Struthio camelus: one gene and its partners. The protein of the gene in region 1 interacts with the protein of each later gene in a biochemical or structural test. Links are inferred from orthologs where the notes say so. Each region holds a gene or a part of one and is shown in the gene's direction. Other genes may lie near its edges.

The links.
Region 2: the proteins of ZBTB16 (region 1) and HDAC5 form a complex in vitro, tested with the Homo sapiens proteins (2 studies listed by BioGRID). The link is inferred for Struthio camelus from reciprocal best matches to the Homo sapiens genes ZBTB16 and HDAC5.
Region 3: the proteins of ZBTB16 (region 1) and HBEGF form a complex in vitro, tested with the Homo sapiens proteins (2 studies listed by BioGRID). The link is inferred for Struthio camelus from reciprocal best matches to the Homo sapiens genes ZBTB16 and HBEGF.

The regions. Positions count from the first base shown.
Region 1 is NC_090963.1:637,258-644,455, reverse strand, and holds the start of ZBTB16 (zinc finger and BTB domain-containing protein 16), read left to right. Parts: upstream 1-4,183; 5' UTR 4,184-4,267; intron 4,268-6,895; exon of another isoform or gene 6,896-7,023; intron 7,024-7,198. UniProt on the Homo sapiens protein: Acts as a transcriptional repressor. Transcriptional repression may be mediated through recruitment of histone deacetylases to target promoters. May play a role in myeloid maturation and in the development and/or maintenance of other differentiated tissues.
Region 2 is NC_090966.1:4,661,318-4,669,349, forward strand, and holds the start of HDAC5 (histone deacetylase 5), read left to right. Parts: upstream 1-4,980; 5' UTR 4,981-4,995; coding exon 4,996-5,017; intron 5,018-8,032. Other genes in the region: HROB (homologous recombination OB-fold protein), read right to left, coding at 112-114. UniProt on the Homo sapiens protein: Responsible for the deacetylation of lysine residues on the N-terminal part of the core histones (H2A, H2B, H3 and H4).
Region 3 is NC_090954.1:23,590,444-23,597,833, reverse strand, and holds the start of HBEGF (proheparin-binding EGF-like growth factor), read left to right. Parts: upstream 1-4,347; 5' UTR 4,348-4,480; coding exon 4,481-4,526; intron 4,527-4,607; coding exon 4,608-4,781; intron 4,782-7,390. UniProt on the Homo sapiens protein: Growth factor that mediates its effects via EGFR, ERBB2 and ERBB4. Required for normal cardiac valve formation and normal heart function. Promotes smooth muscle cell proliferation. May be involved in macrophage-mediated cellular proliferation.

The DNA.
Region 1 (7,198 bases):
CCCGGGGTTTATTGTATCTTCTGGCAATTATTAAGAAAATAAAATCTGTTAATATGTAACTTTGGATCTAGACTGACTTTTGGCTGCAGACTTTATTCCGACTCTCTTGTAAGTCCTGGCGTTCTGTGGCTTGCAGAGGGGCGTTAGGAACGGCTGCAGAGAGGAACGGGGATTTCCTTCGAGATGCAAATACCTCCGTAAGGCTGCCAGAATGTTTTAGAAACTGCCTAGGTTTGTGTGTGTGTGTGTGTGTGTGTGTGTGAGATTCGGTCGCCTAGGTTTTTCCTGGTGCGGGAGATCAGTCGACAAGGAGGAGGAGCCGCTTGGACAGAAGCTTCCCCAGCTGTGTGGGGACTCTGTGTGCATCTTTAGCACACACACATGCGAAAAAAGAGGAGGGGAGGAGAAAACCTTCCACAACTGTAGCCTGTTTGCACTGTCAAAAATAGTAATACCTCTTCTACACATACACACGCGCGCACTGGCAGACACGTGTTTCAAAAGGGGAACAGATGACTCATGCAACTGGAAATGGGATTCGGAGCTTTGCCCTTGCTGGAGAGGAAGGATGAACTGGGGGTAAAGGTGTTCGCTTGGGGCCAGGAGCTCCACACGCACCTTGCTCCTTCCAGCATGAAACTGAGCCAAAAGCATCCAAATAGCATACAGATTTACTTTTTTTTTTTTTTTCCCCAATGGGATGGCTAATGCCAGTTATGTTCCTGACTCACTTTCCAAAGCGAGGTCTACGCTCCAGCGTCGTTGAGGCTCTAGAACTGCGCTGCTTCAAGGCAGCAAGGAGCTGAAGAAATATGTTAAGGATATATTAATATCACACGCTCAGGAAAGCATGAGAATTGCAGAACTAGTTTGCAATTCTTGTTGGTATCCAAAGCTGGGCACGAGCCCGGTGGGGAATGAACATCCCCTTAGGGAGTTACCGCCCTGTACCCTGGTTCTGGGGGAAAGCCAGCATTATTGGTGTGCTGCAGGGAAACTATCGCCCTTCCCCAGCGCTATGTCCGCTCTGGAGAGCAGGGAAAGCCGAAGCGAGGGCGGGGGCACAGAGGAAAGGGAGGATACCATCCAGAAACGCATCTCTCGAATGAGATGGTCTAATATTGCCGAGGATGAGGCCGGCCCCCGCGGACTGCCGTGCTGGGGCCTCCTCTTGTCTGTCCTGGGTTTGGGGGGATGAAATTTACCCAGCGCACGCGCGACCGCCTCGGCGCCGTGCGGTTCGGGCCGGCATTTAGAGTCCTGGCACATCTTCCTTCCCGTCCCGTGCGAGATGTCAAATATTTTAGGTTAAAAGAAGGGGAGAAGAGGAAAAATAATTGCACAGTAAATTAAACAAAGTGTCCCCACACCCCAGCTTATTAACGCTTCAGAAGTTGCTGCTTCTGGCTCGAGCTGTCTTGAATGCATACAAAGGGTAATGCTAAAAATAGGTACTGTACAAATGATTAGGTCATCGCCTGCTAGAGGGAGACATTTTTATTTAATTACTAACCAGGCTGTGCGGCGGTGGTGGCGGTGGGGCAATATATAACAAACACACCAGTTCAAAGCCTGGCTGCCTGTTTTGCAGCGCTGTAAAGTTTGTGCTCCTTCGCTGAGTCACGGTGGATAAATCCCCTTTGTGCCGGGATTTGGGGTGGAATGCAGGCGGGCTGGCCGCCGCCGGCTCCCGCCGCAGTCGCAGCTCGCCGCCGGCTCGCGCTGTTTGCAGGCTTAGGGCCGTAAGCCACTAATTAGCCTTATTGTCTTACGGGCTTCCCAGCGCGCGTAACCTGGGCCAAGGGGGAGGAACGGCGAAAGGGCAGGGAAACTGCAAGCCTTGGAAACGATCGTGTGCGTGCCAAAGCCTACGAGGGAGGAACGGCAGTTTCTCGTTTCCTTTCGGGGGTACTTGGTATCTCAAAAGCCATCGTTCTTAAAATCCAGCAGGGAATTTAATTCACTCTTTTGATGCAATTGCACCGCTGTAGCCTTTCGCAGCCCTCGCCGCTGCGCAGCAAACGCTGCCAGCCACGGTTTTTGGGCTAGCTTAGGTGTGACTCAGAGGTGCTTGCAGCCTAAATGTCACGGCAAGGCCTGAGCTGCGCTGACTTCGGGTCCCAGCTTCTTGCTCTGCTGCGATGCTCCTTAAAGGAGCCCGGATTTCAAACAACCAACCATCGTGCCGCCCCCAAAGTCCCCCAAAGCAGCTGCGCCCTCTCGGTTGCCTTGGCACGGCAGCCGGTGGCACGATGAAGGGCTGCTCACGACTCCCTCCTCCCGCGTGCGGCCACGGCGCGCGCGGGGCCGATCAGCGCCGCGCCGGGGCTGCACCCCGAGCTGCCGGCCCGTGGCGCTTCTCCCCGCTCCTCCTCGCAAACGGCTTGACGCGTTCTTTTTTAAATGAAGTCTAGCACATTTAATCATCTCTTTCATGACCTGTCAGTGTGTCTTATATGCAGCAGAGCGCCGAACTGCTCTCAGTCGCAGAGCGAACTGGACGTGCCTAACAGCGCTAGGGCAGGCGCTTGTCGCGCGTGCGCTTACGCACGAGCGTTTGCATGTTGAAACCTTCGCCCAGAGTTGGGAGTAATGTCGCAAATCAGCTTTTAAAAGGGATGGCCCAAGTCATGGATTTTTATGATTTAGGTTAAAACGGCTGCTCTTTCCCACCCTGCCCCCAAATCGCTAAGGTACACCGAAAATCCTCGTTCCACTGTTAGAGCATTGGGCCGCACAGCAGCGAGACCAGGAAACTGCCCGAACCCGCCACAGCTAAGGGAACACAACGGTACCCATACCAAAATGCGCTAGTCTGAGCGCGGGGAAGTTAACGTTTCTGCAGCTTGCGTGCGACGCGGGTGCCCCCTCGCCGGTTTGGCGCAGGAGCAGAGCTAGGGCAGGCCAAGCTGCTCGCTTGTATTGGGGGGGACGTAAAAGAAATCGCAGCAAAGTGCAGCTGTAGGAGTTGGGCTTACTTCATCCCAAAGCGTTGTAGGGCTCAGCAGGCTGAAGAAGTCATAAGGAGTCGTGTCATCGTCTCTGGGGTGGAGAGCGGGGGCAAGGAGCCTGCGCCTGCGCGGGCCGTCCCCGCGCTGGAGGGGAAGGAGCAGCCGCGGGCTGACGGAGCCGAGGCAGCCCGAGCGCGCCCCGCTCCCCGGCGGCTTTCAGACCTGAGTGCTGGGCTACATATCCCAAACAAGGAACTCCCTTTTCTGCTGCAGTTTTGGGAAAATTCTGTGGAACGACCTTGTGCGTCTAAAGCCTTTTCTCCAGGGCTAACCTCTCCTTTTCGTCCCTGTATGCCTAGCTGAGTGCCCAAGGAGCAGCCCAAGGAACCGCCTTCCCTTATCCCTTGAAATACTTAGAGGCCATCAACTTGGCACATGTTTCGTTTGCAAATCTTATCTTTCTGTCTGCCTGCAAACACTTACCATGCTATTTATGTTAAGAAAGTGAATGTCTGTGTCTCCCCATCCAAAATACACGAATAACTCGGGAGAAAAAGTTACTGTGCGGCGATCGCTCCGTTTCCTGGGAGGGATGCGCATGCGGACCCGCACGCTACGCTACGTGTGGCTGTCCCGTGAAGAGCTTCTAGGCGTCGTGCAAGTCTCACAAGTTTAATGCTAAAGGTTAATAATAATCACAATAGGCAGCACATCATTGCCTCTGTATCTGGTTGAGAGATTTACAACTTAAACTCATGGCAGAGGAAGAAATTGCCTCAATCACTTGGAGTAATGGCACATGGAGAGCCGCTTGGGCGTGACTGCTATTTAACAGGAGAAACCCAGCTTGGCTTCGTTTAGTGTGCTGGTTCTTCTGTAATAAACACGTCACACTACAAGGTGAGGATTAACTTCAGAACAGCAGATAAATTGGAAACTGATGGGGAGAGATGAGAGTGAAATGGAATATGCTGGGGGGGCCCTGCTGGGGGTACTAGCCCGTAACTCCCGCGCTGGGTGCTGGGACACCACCGCGGGGGCCAAGGCTGCCGTTTGTGAGGGTGATTTCTCCTGGGCAGCGCCTGGGCTCTGCCCTTTGCACCAGCTGCGGGAGGCTGGGGCGGTGCTGCCGCCTCCTTACGGGGCCCACCTGGGGGCAGCGGGGGCCCTGCCTGGGGGTGCTCCTGTTCCCGCCCCTGCCCCAGCCGCAGCACTTGCAGCCTGGCGAGGAGGTTGGAGGCGGCACGTCCGGTGCGTGAACCTGGCAGGAGGTGGCTCCTTGCGTTTCTGCTGCCCTCCAGGGCAGGGACACCAAGGCAAGTGGTCGCGTTTGTTCCTCCTCTTAGACGGGTGAACTTTCCGCGGTTGGACCTTTCTTTTTCCACAGGAAGTCAGTCACCTGCTGTAAGCGAGGGTATAGGTGCCTTGAGCATGCTTGCTGGAGCTGGTGCAGTGAGGAATTTGCATTTTTTTAATGTTTCCTCTACGCTGTCAGTGTGGGGCCTTGCTGGGAGAGAGTGCGATGATGTTTAAGGTTGTGGACAAGAGTTTTTGGCTCTTTCCTGTTTTATACTTTTCATACTCTCTCTGCCTTGTGGCTAGTAAGGGGTTTCCCAGCTCCATGTGCGCGCAGGAGCGTGGAGGGCTGCAAGCATATGGAAGGAAACAGGGGCAACTCCTCCTAAATCGTGTGCTTTCTGAGGGGAAAAGCTGTTTCTGGCGTTGTCAAAGATGCGCTTGGCTGGTGTATTGCAGAAAGCTGATGGAACTAGTACTCGTGCTAGTACTCCCTGAAACTCCTACTTAACCTCTAAGGAGTAAGTAGCAGTTGGTTGGGGCCTCAATTAACTTGTCGCCTCAACAGTCGAGGCAAGGAAAGCAACTCGGCTCTTGGCCGTGGTGAGCGTGTGCAGAGCCCAGGTGGCCTGGCTGGAGGGGCAGGGAGAGAGACCGCGGTGGTAGTTTGAGGGGGACTCGGCTTTTTCTAAGTCCAGCTGCAGGCAGACAGGTGAGTTTTGAACCGTGCTCAGCGGTGGTAGTTTATTGGGGGCTGAGCTGCAGGAAACTCTCCACTATTGAGTCATCTCGGCTTAACGCCGTGAGTGCAATACACTGACAAATTTGGATTTTTAGAAGGACGTTCTGGTGAGAGCTTCTGACCAGCTCTTCTGCCCCTCTTCTGCGGGGGGACACCATCTTTTTTGCACTGTTTGTGCAATGTCTAGAACTAAAGATTCTTACATGGTATTGCAATGCAAGCAGGGAAAAAAAACAAAAAACAAAAAGGCATATGAATAACCGAAGTCAGTTCACATTTTTTCAGCCTACAGTAAAACAGAGGCTTGATTCTGCCTAGGGTCTCCGGGAGCCACTGCAGTAAACACTGCGGCACAGCTTGAAACCCCTGAAGGATTTAGGCACATCACTACCTAAGATGCACCTAGTCAGTGGATAAAGGCAGGATTTCTGCTTTCAGGGTCAACAATCCAATACTTTCTGGGGAAAAAAGTAGCTGTAGGAAGCGAGTCTCTTAAACAACTCGGTAGCTTTTATTATATATATTAAAACAGCAACAAAAAGTGCAATGCACCAGTTCGCAGCAAGGACTGGGGGGTTAATTTTCAGCATGCTGCATGGGAATTTAGCCGTGGGATTTCCATTATTGCTAATGGGACTCATGCAGCTTAATTTCATGCAAGCTACACTAAAAACATACCCCTAACTGTCTGCAAAATTTCAGTTCTGAAATCAAGCCTTTTAAAAGTTAGAGGAGGGTAAACAAACACCTGAAACCACACTGTCTTGCTGTTCTCCACTCCCATTCATTTTGAGTTAAAAGTGTGTGTGGGGGGGGAACTCGAGCAGTTTTAAGCAATTAAAAAGGAAAAAAAAAACCCAGCGCTCATGCTGACTGATGGCACTCCAAATTTTAGCTTTCTGCCGATTAAAATGGCAGAGTTATAACCCCTGGAAAATGGGGGTGGCTGATGCCTTATCCTTAACTATACTACTGCGAATGCTACATTATAATACTTATCTAATAACCTCAGCGCTGTCGCCTTTCATTATAAGGCCTCTGTGATTAGGCTGTTCTTGTTAAATGACCTCTATCAGCTGGTCCCAAAGTACATTAAATCCCATTATAATTATAAACACACTTCCCTGTAACATTCTCTGCCGCTTGCGTTCGCACCGCTTTACCCCCCCAAGGGTATCTTTGTACTAATGCCGTTGTGGGGCGGTGGTGGGGACGTGGGGCGGCCCGGGCTGGGCGGCGGCGGCTGTCCGTCCGCGCTGCCTCCTGGCTGCGCTCGCTGCTAGGGGCCGCGGCAGCAAACCGCGCCGCGCTTTCCGCGCTGCTCCTGAGGCTCCGGCACCTGCCTGCCCGGGCCGGGGGCGGCCAGCTGCTTCGCCCTGTCTTTGTTTTTACCAAACGCGCTGCACGGAGCCGACGTGCGCCCCCCGTCCCCGTCCCCCCCCCGGTGTCACCGTCCGCAGCCCTTCAGCGGCGGCGGCAGCGCTGCGCCCGGGGCCGAGGCGCGGAGTTCGCGGAGGGCAGCGGCTGTTTTGGGGGGGGGGGGGGCGGAGGGGGGGGGCCGCCCTGCCTGCCTGCCTGCGCCCGGGGGCGGCGCGGCCCCGACGGCGCGGCGGGGGCTGCAGGTGGCGGCCGGGGGGGCCGCGCCGCCGGCGCCGCTTCATTGGCTGCCGCCGCCGCCTCCATGTTTGTTGTTGGCAGAGGCCGGCGGAGCGGAGCGCTGTCCAGCAGCAGCCGCCGCCCCCCCGCCCCGGCTGCGCGGCCCCGCGGCGGCGGCGGCGGCGGGCGGGCGGCGCTGCGCGGGGCCCCGTCGGGGCGGGCCGGGGCGGGCCGGGGCGGCGGCGCCAGCAGTCAAGATGGAGCGGGCGGCGGGGGCGGCGGCGGCGGGGCCGGGGCCGGGGGCGGGCCGGGGGCGGCCTGACGTGGGCGCGGGGCGGCCCGCGGGGCCGGCGCCGCGGTGATTTGCTGCGCGGCGCGGCCGGCGGCGGCGGCGGCGATGAGAGCGGGCAGTGCGAACTGCCGCAGCAGCCGCCCGCCGTGAGTGCGCGCAGCGCGGAGCGCAGCGGAGCGGGGCCGCGGGGCGCGCAGCGGGGCGGGGGGCGCCCCCGCCACCTGATGGACGTTGCCCCCCGCGGGCGCCCGCTCCGCCGGTGCCGTCGGGCCGGGGCGCGGCAGCGGCGGCGGCGCCCGGCCCGGCTCTGCGCTGCCGCCG
Region 2 (8,032 bases), on another chromosome or scaffold:
CCCGGCAGGACGGACCCCAACCCCCGCCGTTGCCGGGCCCTGCCCGCCCCGGGGACCCGCGGGGCTCGGTGCCGGTTCCCCCCCCGCAGGCCCGTTCCCGCCCGGCGTTACCATGGCAGCGGCGCGGCGGGGCCCCCCGCCCACGCGCGCGGGCCGCGGCGGCCCAGGCCCGGCGGCGGCGGGAGGCGGAAGTGCGGCGGCGGCGGCGGCGGGGCCGGGACGCGAACCCGCGGCCCCGCCGGGCGCTGCCCCTTTAAGGGGCCCGGCTCGGCGCCGCTCTGCGCCGGCGCCCGGGCTCCCGTCGGCGGGCAGTTATGCCGCGGCTTGTCTTAAAGGGGAGGTGGCAGGAGGCCTGCCGCCGCCGGGGGCTGCCCGTCCGTCCGTCCGTCCGTCCCGCCCGTCTGCCCATCCTGGGCACCCTGGGGCCCTCTCTCGGCCCTGTGTCCGTCCGTCCGTCCGTCCGTCCGTCTGCTCGCCCAGCCATCCCTCTCTCCAGCCGCCTGCTTGTCCAGCTGTCCGTCCGCCCCGTCCGTCCGTCCCTCCATCCCACACATCACCCCCCCGTCCAGCCATGCTGCATGCCATCCGTCCGTCCTGCCTGTCCCTCTGCCCGCCTGCCTCGCCAGCCCGGCCGTCTGTCTGTCCATCCCGCCTGTCCCTCTGTCCCTCTGCCTGGCTGTCCATCCGCCCGTCCTGCCTGTCCCTCTGCCCGCCTGCCTTGCCAGCCTGGCTGTCTGTCTGTCCGTCCATCCTGCCTGTCCCTCTGTCCCTCTGCTCGCCCACCCCACCAGCCCGTCTGTCCATCCATCTGTCTGTCCCTCCTGTCCCTGTGTCCCTCTGCCCACCAGCCTGGCCGTCCATCTGTCCGTCTGTCCCACCTGTCCCGCTGCCCGTCCGCCCCGCCAGCCCAGCCATCCGTCTGTCTGTCCATCCCGCATGTCCCTGTGTCCCTCTGCCCGCCCACCCCGCCAGCCCGGCTGTCTGTCCGTCCATCCCAACCTGCCCCAGACACCAGGGGGACTTGCGGCCCCGCAGCCTCCCCGGCTGGAGCAGCCCCCGTGTGGGGTGCAGGCTGCTGTGCAGGGTGCTGTGCGGGGTGCATGGGTCCCTTGCAGTGTGCGTGGGCCCCTGCAGGGTCCCCATGTAGGGTGCAGAGCCCTGTGCAGGATCCCCTTGCAGGGTGCCCAGGTCCCATGGGGGGTGCATGGCCGTATGGGGGGTGCAGGGTCCCCCTGCAGGGTGCCCAGGTCCTGTGCAGGGTGCATGGCTCCGTGCGGGGTGCAGAGTCCCCGTGCAGGGTGCCCAGGTCCCATGGGGGGTGCATGGCCATATGGGGGGTGCAGGGTCCCCATGCAGGGTGCCCAGGTCCCATGGGGGGTGCGTGGCTGTATGGGGGGTGCAGGGTCCCCGTGCAGGGTGCACAGGTCCCATGGGGGGTGCGTGGCTGTATGGGGGGTGCAGGGTCCCCGTGCAGGGTGCGCAGGTCCTGTGCAGGGTGCATGGCCCCATGTGGGGTGCAGAGTCCCCATGCAGGGTGCCCAGGTCCCATGTGGGGTGCATGGCTGTATGGGAGGGGGGTGCAGGGTCCCCCTGCAGGGTGCCCAGGTCCTGTGCAGGGTGGATGGCTCCGTGCGGGGTGCAGAGTCCCCATGCAGGGTGCCCAGGTCCCATGGGGGGGGTGTGTGGCTGTATGGGGGGGGGGGTGCAGGGTCCCCATGCAGGGTACACAGGTCCCATGGGGGGTGCATGGCCCTATGTGGGGTGCAGGGTCCCCATGCAGGGTGCCCAGGTCCCATAGGGGGTGCGTAGCTGTATGGGGGGGGTGCAGGGTCCCCGTGCGAGGTGCATGATCCCCTGGGCAGGGTGCGTGGCCCTGTGCGTGGGTCCCTGTGCAGGGTGCATGGCCCCGTGTGGGGTGCAGAGGGCCCATGTGGGGTGCAGGGTCCCGGTGCCGGGTCTGTGGTGCCGTGCGGGGTGCGTGGCCAGCGGCCCCCTCACCCTTGGGTGGGGGCGGGCACGTTTACGTGCGAGCGGGCGCTTGTGCGTAGCTGCGGTGCGTGGCCATGCGTGTGCACCTGTGTGCCTGCAGCTGTGCACACGTGTGCGTGCACGCGTGTGTGCGCGCGCAGCGCCCGCCCGGCGCGGTGCGGGGCCGTCCCCGGGGGCGCTCGCTCGCTCGCGGTGACTCACCGCATCCTCATCCACATCCGCGGCCGCGCCGTGATTCATCCCTCGGCGGCCCCTGCCCGACGCGCGCCCCGCGCGCTGCACACCCTGTAAACAGTACACCGCGCGCGCTGCACACCCTGCCAACAGCGCAATGCACACGCAGCACACCGCGCGTGCTGCAACAGTGCACCGCACACGCAGCGCACCGCACGTGGTGTCCGGGGTGGGGGCTGTTACGGGGAAACAGAGCCCCTGCTCCCCCCCTTCCAAGTGCACCCGTTTGCACACACCAGCCTCCTGTGCGCGTCCCTGCAGGCAGTTGCACGCCGGTGCACCGCAGACGTGCACGTGCGTGCACCCTCGCTTGTGTGCACTTGCACGCTGGCCTGTTGTATGCATGCTTGTTTCCGTGTGCAACTGTGTGGCAGCCTCCTGTGCGTGCACGCCGAAGTGCGTGTGGCTGCACACCAGCCTGCTGCATGTGAGCGCTGGCACACGTGTGCTGTTCCACGCCAGGCCGTTGTGCGTGCACACTCACTTGCATGTGCTGTTGCCCATCAGCCTGCTGCACACGCATGTGCAGCTGCACGGTAGACTGCCACACACACGCAGTCGCACGCGTGTGCCACTGCAGGCCAACCTGTTGCATGCACATTCAAACACGCACAGCTGCAGGCCAGCCTGTCGCACATACTTGTTGCCACACGTGTGCAATTGCACGCCAGGCTTGCACATACGCAATCGGACACGGGCAGCTCTACCCTAGCATATCACGCGTCTGCTCACACGTGTGTGCTGCTGCTTGCTAGCCTGTCCCACGCTGACAAGTGCGATTGCACACCAGTTCTTGTGCACGTGCACTCCCAGGTGTGTGCCATTGCACACCAGCCTGTTGCACGCAACTCATGCTTGCTCAGATGTGCGTGCCAGCTTGTGGCACACACACAGCCTCACACGTGCGCTATTGCATGTCAGCCCATGGTGTGTACGTGCATACACACGTGTGCCTTTGCATGCCAGCCTCTGGCGAGCATGCACACACGTGTGCTGTTGCACACCTGCCTGTGGTGTACACACACACAGGTGCTATTGCACGCCAGGCTGTGGTGCATGCACACAGATGTGCGCTGTTGCATGCCAGCCCCATGGTATACACACGCATGCCATTGCCTGCCAGCCCGCAGTGCATGCACACATGCACGCACGCACACCAGCCTGCAGTGCACAGATGCATATGTGTGCCATTGCACGTCAGCTCACAGCGTGTGCATGCATGCACACTCATGCACACACGCAATTGTGCTGTTGCATGCCAGCCTGCAGCGCGTGAACACACAAGTATGCCGTTGTGTGTGAGCATGTGCACACACACACGTGTGCCGTTGCACGCCAGCCTGGACTGCATGCACACACAGGGTGCCATTGCACGCCAGCCTGCAGTGTGCACACACACACGTGCCGTTGCACACCAGTTTACAGTGCATGCACGCGTACACGTGCGCTGTCGCACGCCAGCCTGCAGTGCGCGCACACACACACACGCGTGTCATTGCACACCAGCCCACAGTGCACACGCACGCCCGTGTGCCGTTGCACGCGAGCCCGCGGTGCGCGCTCCCGCGCGCGCCCCCGCGGGCCCTTTAAGGCGCGCGCCCGCTGCCCCGCAGCGCCCCGCCCCCGGGGCGGGCGGGCGGGAGGGGAGGAGGAGGACGGCGGGGAGGGGGCGGGAGGGAGGCGGCGGCGGGGCGGGGGGGGGGGAGGGGGCGGTGGCGGCGAGGCTATTTTTAGCGCAGGGTTCCGTCACGTGACGGCGAGTGACGTCACCGAATGTTGTTGTCGGGGCGGGCGGGGCCGCGCGGCGAAGATGGAGGGGCGGCGGGGCGCGCGCGGGGCGGCGCGGCCGGGCCGGGCGCGCGGCGGGCGGCGCGCGGGGCCCCGCTAGGCGCCGGCACCGCGCAGGTAACGGCCCCGCGCGCCGGGGGGGGTGGGGGGGTGCGGCGTGCACCGGGGGGGGGTGCGGCGTGCACCGGGGCGGGGGCGCCGTGCAACGCGGGGAGCATGTAATGGCGTTTTTTTTTTTTTTTTTGGGGGGGGGGGCACCGCGCACTGGCGATGTGGCGGGGGGGCCGCCGTGCACCGCTGGATGCGCTGGGCGATGCCGCGCGGGGGGGGGGGGGGGACACACACACGCACCGTGCAGCGCGCGTTATGCCGGGCGAGGCGAGAGGGGGGGCCCCGTGCAATGCGGCGGGGGGGGGCCCGTGCCCCGGGGGTTGCGCCGTGCAATGCGGTGGGGGGTGGCCGTGAAATGCGGGGCGGGGGGGGAGGCCCGTGCAATGCCGGAGGGGGGGGGGCTATGCAATGGTGGGTGGGGGGGCCGTGCAATGCCGGGGGGGCCCCCGTGCATCCGCGCCGCCGCTGTGCGTGGGGCCCGGGCCGCAGAGGGGCTGTTTGCAAACGCATGTTTGGGGGGGGGGTGTTGCACCGGTCTCGGCTCTATCGCTGACCGCCCCCCACCCCAAACCTGCCACGGGTGCGGGGTCCCCCCGATGCAGGGTCGCGGCCGCCGCTGCCCCGCGCGTGTCCAGCCGCTGCCCCGCGCGCGGCCGCCCCCCCCCCCCTCCCGTTTCCCTGCGGAGCCTTGTGTAACGCGGCGGCCGCCACCGTGGCCTCGCGGCGGGCGCTCGGCCGGGCCGCTGACGGCGCTCGCCTGCCTTCCCTCCCGCAGGGCCTCCTCGGGGCATGGCGCAGCGGTGCTGAGGCCGCTCGGCCGAGCCGCCCGCCTCGGCCTCCTGCGCGACGTCCCGTCCCGTCCCGCCGGCCGCCATGGACTCCCGGAGCGACGCAGGTGAGCGCCGGCGGGGCGGGATCCCCCCCCCCCCTTTGCCCACCTGCCGCCGGCCCGGGGTGGGGGGCTCCGCCGCTGCCCCCGTCCTCTTTACCCCATCTGCGAAATGGGTTCAGGGACCCCGCAGCCGCTCGTCGGCCCGGCCCGGCCCCTTCCCTCCCTTTCTGCTCCCGCTCCGCCGTCCTCCCCCCTCTTCTTCCCCCGTTTGGATCGAGCCGGGCTTTTCGGATGGTGCTTTTGGGAGCCGAAGCCCGGCGGCTTGAGCTTGGGCGGCTGCTGCTCGGCGGGCCGCGTGTGATGAGCTGGGCAGGTCTCAGCCCGGCGTCGCCAGGCTCCCGTCCGTCCCGGGCACCTGGTGGCCGAGACCGGGTCGGGGTCCGCGATGCTCTTCGGATGCTTGATGCACCCCAGGGTGGGATTTGGGGGGGGGGAGCGCTCTCTGCTTGCACCCGTTTTCCCAGTTCAGCCCCAAAGCCGGGGTGGAGGGGGGGGGCGGTGCGTGCCGCGGGGGTCCGGCGGCCGGCGAGGGCTCGTTCCCGCGGCCTCCTGCCCGACGGCGGTGCCAAAAATAGCTCCGCTGACGTCAAGCCCCAAAGCGCCCCGGCGGGCGGGGGGCCGGGGTTGGGGGGGGGGGGCGGCACGGGGGGAGGCGTCCCATAAATATCCCGGCTATTAAAAGTCTCAGGCTCGGATTAAACACGCTGGTAAATAAACGTGGCTGCCTGCTGGGGGGGGGGGGGTTTACGCACGGCCCCCCCCCGCGGGGGGGGGCGGCAGTGGGACGTGTGGCTCGTGGGGGTCCCCGTCGTGTGCCCCCCCCCCGGGAGCGTGAGCCGGTTCACGTCACTGATCCGGCAGAAAACGGCTCCCGGTTTCGGCTGTCGGCGCCACTGGGGGTTTGGGGGGGGGTCCTGGGGGGGGGTGTTAATCCCCCTCGGTGCAACCAGGATGTTATTCCTGGCAGCGCTGATGCGGATTAACGTCCCGAGCAATTAGGGTCTCCTTGGGGGGGGGGGGACACAACACACCACCGGGAGCAATTTAGGGGCTGGGGGTGCCGGGGTGACCCTGCTGGGCGATGGGGCGTGGGGGGGCCGGAGCGGCACCCGTGGGGGCGGCCGTGCCCGCGGGACCCTGCTGCGGGCTGGGACCCCGGCGCGGGGTGGGGGGAGCCTGGTCCCCGACCCCCAGCCAGCGGCTGGGGCAGTGGCGAGCAGTGATTTGTTCCCCCCCCCCACCCCCATCTCAGCGCTGCATTTGGGGGGATTTTGCATTGTACCCAGCACGTCCCCCCGCCGTGCCGGAGCCGGCGGGTGCTGGTGCCGGCGGGCGTCCCCGGAGCCCGGCTCCCCTAGCGCGCCACCCTATTTATAGCTGGCTCCTCCCGCGCTCCCGCTATTTCCAGCGGCCCCCAGGGCCCCCCCCCCCCGGGCCGCGGAGAGCGGCACGCCGAGCCCCGGCAGGGCAGCGTGGGGCGGCCGAACCCGCCGGCGCGCTCGCCGGGCCCCTTGCCCTGGGCGCCGCGGCGCGCCGCCGACCCTTTCGGAGGGGCGCTCGCCTTTCGCCGCCGGCCCGCCCTGGAGCTGCTGTCCCGCGCGCAGCTCCGCGCCGCCCTGCCCGCCGCAGGTGAGTGCCGCCGGGGGGGGGGGCGGGTGGGTGACCCCCATCCCCGCGGCGCTCCGAGGTGCCCCGCGCCGCCGCTTGCCGCCCGCCTGCTTCTTGCCGCGGGAACCGCTTGGCCCTTTTTCCCGCGGCGCCGCGCGGTGCCCCCCACCGCCGTCCCGGCCCGCTGCCTCCTCCTCGCAGCCGGTGCCCGGGGCCGGCGCTCGCCGCCTGCCAGCGGCTAAGAATACCCGGCGGGTATTTTTAGAGCTGGATCTCTAAGCCGCTTATCTCTGCCAGGCGGCTTTGAGCAGCCCGGAGCGAACGCTGCCGGCGCGGCGCTGCGAGGAGGGGGCGGCGATGGGGGGGGGGGTTTCCCCGCGTCCTCCCTGCCCGTTTGGGGTGGTGGGTTGGGGCCGCGCGCCTGGCGCTGTACGCGGGGCCGAGCGCAAGCGCTGGGCTTCGCTCGGCTCCGGGAAGCCCCGGGTCAACCGGGGTTCTGCAGCCTGGGGGGGGGACACGGCGGCACGTGGGTGCCCAGGGGGACGGTGGCAGGACGCCGTCCTCGCTGCAGTCTCGCCCGGGGTTTGGTGCGCGGCACGGTGGGCTTGGTGGCAGCGCTGCCTCTGCTGTGGGGGGCTGAGCCGCGGGCCCCCCCGGCACGGACTCGGCCCCGGAGACACGTGTGCACGAGGGGACCGGCTCTCCTTGCACAGGCGTGCACGCAGGGGGTCTGGCTGTCTTGCGTGGGTGTGCACGAGGGGACCGGCTCCCCTTGCACGGGCGTGCACGCAGGGGGTCTGGCTGTCTTGCGTGGGTGTGCACGAGGGGACCGGCTCCCCTTGCCCGGGCGTGCACGGAGGGGGTCTGGCTGTCTTGCGTGGGTGTGCACGAGGGGACCGGCTCCCCTTGCCCGGGCGTGCACGCAGGGGGTCTGGCTGTCTTGCGTGGGTGTGCACGAGGGGACCGGCTCCCCTTGCACGGGCGTGCACGGAGGGGGTCTGGCTGTCTTGCGTGGGTGTGCACGAGGGGACCGGCTCTCCTTGCACGGACGTGCACGGAGGGGGTCTGGCTGTCTTGCGTGGGTGTGCACGAGGGGACCGGCTCTCCTTGCACGGGCGTGCACGGAGGGGGTCTGGCTGTCTTGCACGGGTGTGCACGAGGGGACCGGCTCCCCTTGCCCGGGCGTGCACAGGGGCGGAGCTGGCTCTCCTTGCACGGGTGGGCATGAAGGGGTCTGGCTCTCCTTGCACGGGTGTGCGCGGGGTCGGCGCCGGCTCTCCTTGCTCAAGTGTGCACGAGGAGCCTGACTCCCCTTGCATGGGTGTGTGTGGAGGGGACCGGCTCCCTGTGCACGGGTGTGTGTGGTGTTGGAGCTGGCTCTCCTTGTGCGAGCGTGCACGAGGGGTCTGG
Region 3 (7,390 bases), on another chromosome or scaffold:
GCAGGGCTCCATGCACCAGCATGGTTGTTTGCTCTGCGATAAGAGCATTTGCTAAGGAGTGTGCCATGGCATGTAAATGGGCAGTCTGCATACCATGAGTTATGCGGCAACTTTCATTTGGCCTGTTAACAGCCACCTGTGCAGGTGGCATGGAAAAGCTGAGCTGCAGTTTGCTTTGAGAGCAGAGGTGAATGCCAGCAGTGGGGTGTGCACATTGGCATGGACCACAGGGCAGATCCCAGCCTCCGGTGCCCAGCCCTGTTCCAGGCGATCCCAGAGGAGTGGCTGGGGGAGCTGGAGGCTGGAGCAGCCACTGCTTTCCCCGTGCACCATCTTCTCATGCCGCAAGCAAGGGCCCCGGAGGAAACAGGCCAGCAGAGCACTTTAGGGAAGATGGCTTCACGAGGCACAGCCACAGAGCGAAAGGAATGCAGGAACCCGGAAAGAAGATCGTGTTTGTACTTGGATTTGTTTTCTACGTGGTTTTCAACATACCGCTGCAAGGAGAGGAGATGAAAGGGATCTGTAAACAACTTTATCTTTCCCAGGGTGTTTCCTTGATATATTGGACAAGGCTTTGAGCTTGGCTTCTGTCTTGGTTCTTCTTGAATGGCTAGTTTTTTTCAGCCATTTTTCTCCTCTGTTTGCAAAAAGTCTTTTCAGACAGTGGCCAGAGAGAAGGGCAGTTTGGAGAACAGGAAAAAAAATGTGTTTGTAAAGCCACTGAAACTGGCACAGGCCCAGGGCCAGGAATAGCACCTGAAACCACTCTGACACTGGCAGGGTAACAGGCTGGCAGTGTTTGCCCAATTTCAGCCAGTTAGCAAGGGCTGACCTGTCTTGAGCAAGTCTTGAAGCCGTTTCCAGGGCAAAACAACACTTTTATTGACCTCAGCATTCCCATAAAACACAGCAGCCGTGCTGAAGCCTTGATGGGCTATGGATGGAAGCAAGGCAAAGCTGCAAAAGCAGCAGTATCAGCTGCTTGATCAGATAAGAAGAGGGGCAAGGCTTCAGGGCACACCAGCCTTCTTGCAGGTCTTCCTAGGGTCTCATTAGTAGAGCCTGAATGCTTGAAAGATGATTCTTAATATGTTTGAAAGCGCATGGGTTTTTTTTGGTCCTGTACCCCTGTTAAGAGAGTTGCTTCTCCCGCACAAGGGTCTTGGTGGCAACGGTGCTGTGGCTAGGAGAGGGCCAAGTTCTATGGCTGTCAGCCACAGCTGGCTTCTTTGCTCCCCAGATGCGAGGGACGTGGGGCAGCAAGGCAGACAGTATACAGGTAGGACGAGGCAGGCATGCGTGCAGAATCTTGAGCTTCAGAGCAGGTGAGCTTGTAACGCCCACATTAATGGAAGCCAGTAGAAGGTCTTCAGGCCATGAGGACTGCTGGTGACCGCAGGAGGGCTTTGAGAGGCAGATGGGAGAGGCTGGGAGGAGGCAGACAGGAATGACAGCTGCTAAAGGTTTGCTGCTTAAGAGAAAGAGGCCAACAAACACTGGCCCTGCCCTGTCCCAGGGGCACAAATGAAGGATTTCAGGGTCTGCTTTGTACCTCTGAGCAGGAAATAGAGGGAAAAGCCATCCCACTCCTTTGCTACTAGTAGGCTCAGCTGCTGGTCCCACTGGTCACTAGTCCCATTAAGGCTGCTTCTGTGCCTAGGCACCAGTCAGGAAATCTGGGGACTCGAACCTGGTTCACCAGGCAAAATGCTGGGCTCAGACACATAAGACTTGACACATCTCATCATGTCACCCCCAAGAGCTGCACAGCCCAGCCAGGAGACTGTACTACCAATGTTATGAAGTCTTTCAGGTCTCTTTGCATGAGCCACAGCCTCAAAATACAACCCTTTACAACTGCCCACCCTTTGAGCCAGAGACATAAACATTTTGTGAGGGTTCAGGAGTGCAGTAAAAAAAGTCGTCTTCACAAATGATGTGACCTGCTGCCTTCCTATCCTAACTTGCTCACTGGCTTTTTATTGTGCCAGGGAAGTCAGCAAACACACCTCCCACATATCCCATGCATCAACTCTGTAGAACCTCCTGGGGGGATTTTGGCGGAACGTGTCAGGGAACTACCAGGGAAGCAAACCCCTTCCCGAAGCAGTTACATAACTGGGAAGCAAATAGCATGGGAGTCTTCAAGGCAACCAATACCTTCATCTGTCAGAGCAGCAGGAATCACTGGGTTGTGATGAACTCATCTTGTCTGCACTAGCAGTTCTGGCCTCCAAATACTTTAAGGCTGATGATGACTGGAGGAGCCGGAAGGAACACCATCCAGCAAACAATTGCAAAAGTCAAGTCTGAGCAAGAAGGAGGGTGTGTGTGCGGGGGTTGCCAAATCCGGAAGTATTCCTTGGAAACAACAACAACAATCACAGGAATATTTAATCACGCTACTACAGTGCCTTGCTGAACCGAAACTGGCACCAGGGTTCGGGGCTTGGGAATTGGAGCTGCCACGAGGAATAATCAGGGGGATGTGGCCATCCCAAATGCAACCTGGAACAATGCAAAGCTGCTCTACTTGCCCAACATTTGGCGTCATCACTGTTTTCTAGCCTGTCACCTGGGATGAAAATGAGGCCAAATACAATAAGAGCCAAAGTGATTCCCAGCATGATAAAAGAGATGGATCAAAACACAGCCAGCCCCTAAACAGAAACACCACAGACCGGAACTAAGGAAAAGAGCACCATGAGGCCAGGAGCTCGGAAATTGGCTGAGTAAGTTGGGTTCATACAGGATTGTGTGATGAAGCTATGAATCAACCTGTTTAATGGGTTCTCCATCTAGGCACAAAGGTGGCTCGAGGTCTTCTATACTCTAACCAGAAAGATCTCCACCATCTTCGTAGACTGCCCTAGAGTCCCTCCTCCAATTTAGGGTGGCACCAGGGTAAAGTGCATGTGGGTGAAATTCTGTCCCCTAACAGGGTGTCATCCTCATTGCTAATGGCAGAAACAGGTTAACAGCCCTGAACATGATTTCTTGCCTCCTGTGTGATGTTCTTCTTGCAGGGTGAACTTACTGGAGACCCTTATTCCTCCTAATATCTTCTGGGCTGTTTCTGAGCACTAATCTTCTGATCTCAGCAACATCCTGTGGCAGTGAGTTCCACAGTGCAATGGTTCATGCTGAATCCTCAGTGATCTCTTCTCTTCCTGCCTTGCACGAGAGGAGAGAATAGAAGGTTTCCAATCCACTTTTTCTAAACCATTTGTTCTCCTCTACAGTTTTAGTACAGCACCTCTTACTGTTTCCAGCTCTAACTGTTGGACTACAGAGCTTCCTTGGCCTCTCCACAAAATAGTCTGTTCCTGTTGTTGAGCTGACAGCGTGCACAGCACTTCTCACCCCTCTGCTAACCGCAGTGGTGGTGTTATCAGTGTGACTGGGAATGAAGGACCTCTCGTCTCTGCCAATGCCTGTGCTGGGGGGTTGCAGCCATGGGAGGCCTCCAGCAGCTCTTCTGTGCATGCTGCAGGATCCAGCCGCCATGAAACATGTGTTCCCTCCACTGCAACAGAGCAGAAATCCCACCGGGGAGCATGAGGAGCAGCTGGGCAACCTCTCTGACTCCATCTGGCTTCCATGCAGGCCACCACGCCAGACAAGGTGTCAACAATGCCCATCCTGACCCCACGGTAGAGCAGGGGGCCCGCGGCCCAGGAGGTGGCAGGATGCCCTATAGCCTGCCCATCTGCGTGACACTGAAGCAATGAGGCGCGGGGGCTTCGCAGTAGGGCTGCCGCAGGGCTGAGGTCGACAGCAGGGCAGAGGCCCTGGCCTAGGGGTGCCCCTGCTCATCTCCCCCACCAAGGAGACAGCACCCTGGGAGCCGGCGTGCAGCTGCCTTGCCGCGGCCCCTCTCGGCTGCTGGGAGCGGCCGGCTGTGGTCCCGCGCCCCGGAGCACGGGCTGCCTCGGCTCGCTGTGGCCGGCCTGTCCCGCCCCGGGCAGCGCCGCCGCAGCCGCAGCCGGAGCCGGAGCCGGAGCCGGAGCCGGAGCCGGAGCCGGAGCCAGGCGCAGGGGCAGGGGCAGGCGCAGGGGCCGGGGCAGGGGCAGGGGCAGGCGCAGGGGCAGGGGCAGGGGCAGGCGCAGGGGCAGGCGCAGGGGCAGGGGCAGGCGCAGGGGCAGGGGCAGGCGCAGGGGCCGGGGCAGGGGCAGGCGCAGGGGCCGGGGCAGGGGCCGGGGCCGGGGCAGGCGCAGGGGCAGGCGCAGGGGCCGGGGCCGGGGCCGGGGCCGGGGCCGGGGCAGGGCCGTGGCCCCGCCAGCGGGGCGTGGAGAAGCGCAGCCCCGCCTGGGCCCGCCCCGCTGCCCGCTGCCTTCTACCCGCGGCGGGGCCGGGCGCGCCGAGAGTTGCAGTCGGTCCGGGGCCGAGCGGAGCACGTGGTCGCGGGGCCGGAGCGGGGCCGGGGCTGGGAAAAGGCTTCCGCGGCTTTCAGGAGGCGTGTGCCGGCAGGGCAGCCATGGACGGGCGGGTGGTGGTGGTGATCAACGCGCTGCTGGCCGCAGGTGAGAGTCGCGGGAGGAGCGGGAGCGGATGTGGGCTTCGGCGCGCCTGGCCTCGCTGACCGTGCCCTGTTCCCTGCGCAGTGTGCGCCGCGGCGGCGGGCGGGCTCGGCCGGGACGTGCTGCACAACGAGGTGCTCCACAAGGACGGCGGTGGAGGGGCCCCGGTCCCGGCCACGGCGCCGCTACTCCGCGGCAGCCCCGAGAAGGAGGGCGGCGGAGTGGCCTCGGGGGACGACTTCAGCGAGCTGCCGAGAGGTACCAGCGGGGGCAGGCTGGGGCCTGGGGCGGGCGGGAGCGCGGGCTGGGAGCCGGCCCCCGCGGCGAGCCGGGGCTGGCTCGGGGGGGCTCAGGTCGGGTCGGTCCGCACCGGCGCCCCGGGGCGGGAAGGGCCTCGAGCGTCGGGTACGGAGCGGGCTGAGGGGGACCCGGGTGGCGTCGGATATGGACAAGGAGAGAGGGGGACCCGCTTCGGGTTGAGATCCCAGTCTGGGCAGGGAGAGCTCGGCTTGGTTCAGATATGGATTTGCTTTGGGTCCTGGTCCAGTTTGGGGCCGGAGGCAGTGTGGGTTCGGTGCCAAGCCTGATTTGAATCCAAATGCTCACTGGGTGTTGGTGCAGATCTGGAGCTGGCGGGGGCAGGCTTGGCCCAGTTTCAAGGGGGAACATGTGAGGCTGGAGCAGCCCTGTGCCCCCTGGGTGGCAGCTCTAGCTCTCTGTGGGCTGCCTCAGGGGAGGCCACCATCGCCGTCTGGGTGACAGTGGGCTGGATCCAATGCCTGGGCTGGGCACGAGGGTACTGCTTGAGAGCTCCCAGTACCCCAACACCCTGCATGTGCACCTTGCCTTGCCCCATGCTGTGGCACCCAAAGGTGTCCCTGCCCCATGGTGCCAGCCCTGGGTGTGGGGCAGGGTGGGAGCCCTGGGCAGCAGGCAAGAGCCCAGGACTTGTAGCTGTAGGTCAGGGCAGTTGGGTTTTGGCAGCTTTGCCTGAGGGGGGTGTCCCTGGTGCCCCTAGCATGGCAGTCCCAGGGGCTCCCAAGCAAGGGGGCAGGAGCCATGATCCCACAGTCCCTGGGTCGTGCCCTACAAGTGAGAGCTGTGCCCCAGGAAGGGAGAGCCCTCTGATGCATGTGGCACCCCTTGCCCACAGGTGTTCAGTCCTGGGCTGGGTGCGTATGCCTGTTTGGACTATGCTGCCTTCCAGATAGTGGCAATGGTGGCTGCTGGGGAGGGGACCACTGTGACTCACCCGTCGCCCACACACGGCTGCTCTTCATACCTAGCTGGGGTTAGTCACCCAGCGGTCCCTTCTACGGAGGCGTTGGGGACACTGCCTCTCTGTTAGGCTCTGTGCATTCATGCTTGGCTCCTCTCCCCTGGGTTGGGACCAGAGCATGTCCTGGTGCCTCTTGTGGGGGGTCGTGCCCATGGGGTGAGATGGGACCCATCACAGCGTGGGAAGGGTGACTGAGCCTATCTGGCCTTGCAGGTGTGGCATGCTGAGATTGGTAGCCTAGCACCAGGAGGATTGAGCTCTACTCTGTGTAGTTCACCCTCCCATCTTTTCTCATTTTTCCTCTTTGCTTTCTGGCTGTCTGGTCCTGTCAGACTGCGATGCTAGCACCTGGCTTTGCAAAACCAGGCTGATCACTCATGTCTGAGGGTATTCTGCCCTCGGGAAATGCTCCTTTTCTTGATGGGAGATGCAGTAGGAGAGCAAAGAGATGCTCCCATCTGCCCTCTGGTCCTCCAGGTATCCCTCCAATGAGGAGATCCCACCCTAGAGCAAATGATCTCGCAGGTGTGGGCTGTGAGGAGGGAGGACTGCAGCAGGATAGACTGATGGGGCTCTAGTTTTTGGGGTGGGGGTTATCTGTTGCCAAATCAGCATTGCTAAGTTATAGTCAGAGGAATCTGCCTTTTGTGCCAGAGGCACCTTTCTTTCTGTGCTCCAGCCCTGGGGACAGCAGGTCTTTTCCCCTGTGGCTGGGGTGTCTGTGTGGGGGGCCATCTATGGCATCCCCCTGCCCACCTGGACTGCACCAGTTTCCCCCCCTTCCTACTGGCAAGATCACCCAAATCTTCTGCGGACATGCTGCTTGGAGGACACGGGACAGAGTCCCAGGGACAAGGGTCAATGCCAGAGAAGGGCAGCAGTGAGGGAGGCCAAGGGGTCAGCAGCACCGCTCCTGTCCCTCTGATAGCACATGTCTGCGAGGAGCCCTCTGTGCCACTGGCTGCGGCAGGGAGATAAGCCACAGGGGAGGGGACAGCTACTGCTGCCAGCCTGGGGCAAGTCCTGGGGCCCTGCATCTCACCCGCATCTGGGGGTTTCTCCAAGCCACAGAGTTTCCTGGAGTATCATTTTTCTCCAGGCCTAGCTTGAAGGATGTTGAAGTTGTGAAATAACTTCCTAGGCATGCAAACTAATGGTGCACTGTGGCACGAGAGGTGCTTGCATGGGGAGGAAGGTTACGTACGCTGAGGGCTTGGTTATGTGAGGAAGTTGTTGAGAAAGCATTAGGCATGTTAAAACTTGCCAGGTTAGACTCTGTTGCCCTTTCCCCCTTGTTCCCTCTGTGCAGCACGTGATTTAGTTTGTATTTCCCCAGCCTCGCTGCAGTTCTTAATGCCATGATTGTAGCGGCAGAAAGTGTCTCTCCAAGCAGTGAGTAACTTTTGTGGCACCTTGCGAGATCAAGCTGGGGTTGATTTTTGGCATCTGTCCGTCTTAAACTATTCCAGTAATGTTGCTGGTTTGGCTTTGGGTCTGTGGGGAGCATCTAAGGAGCTTGGCGCTCTGGTTCCCACCGGCCTGCTTAGCCAATTCAGCAGGGAGCTGGCCTTGCACCAAAACCCACCGA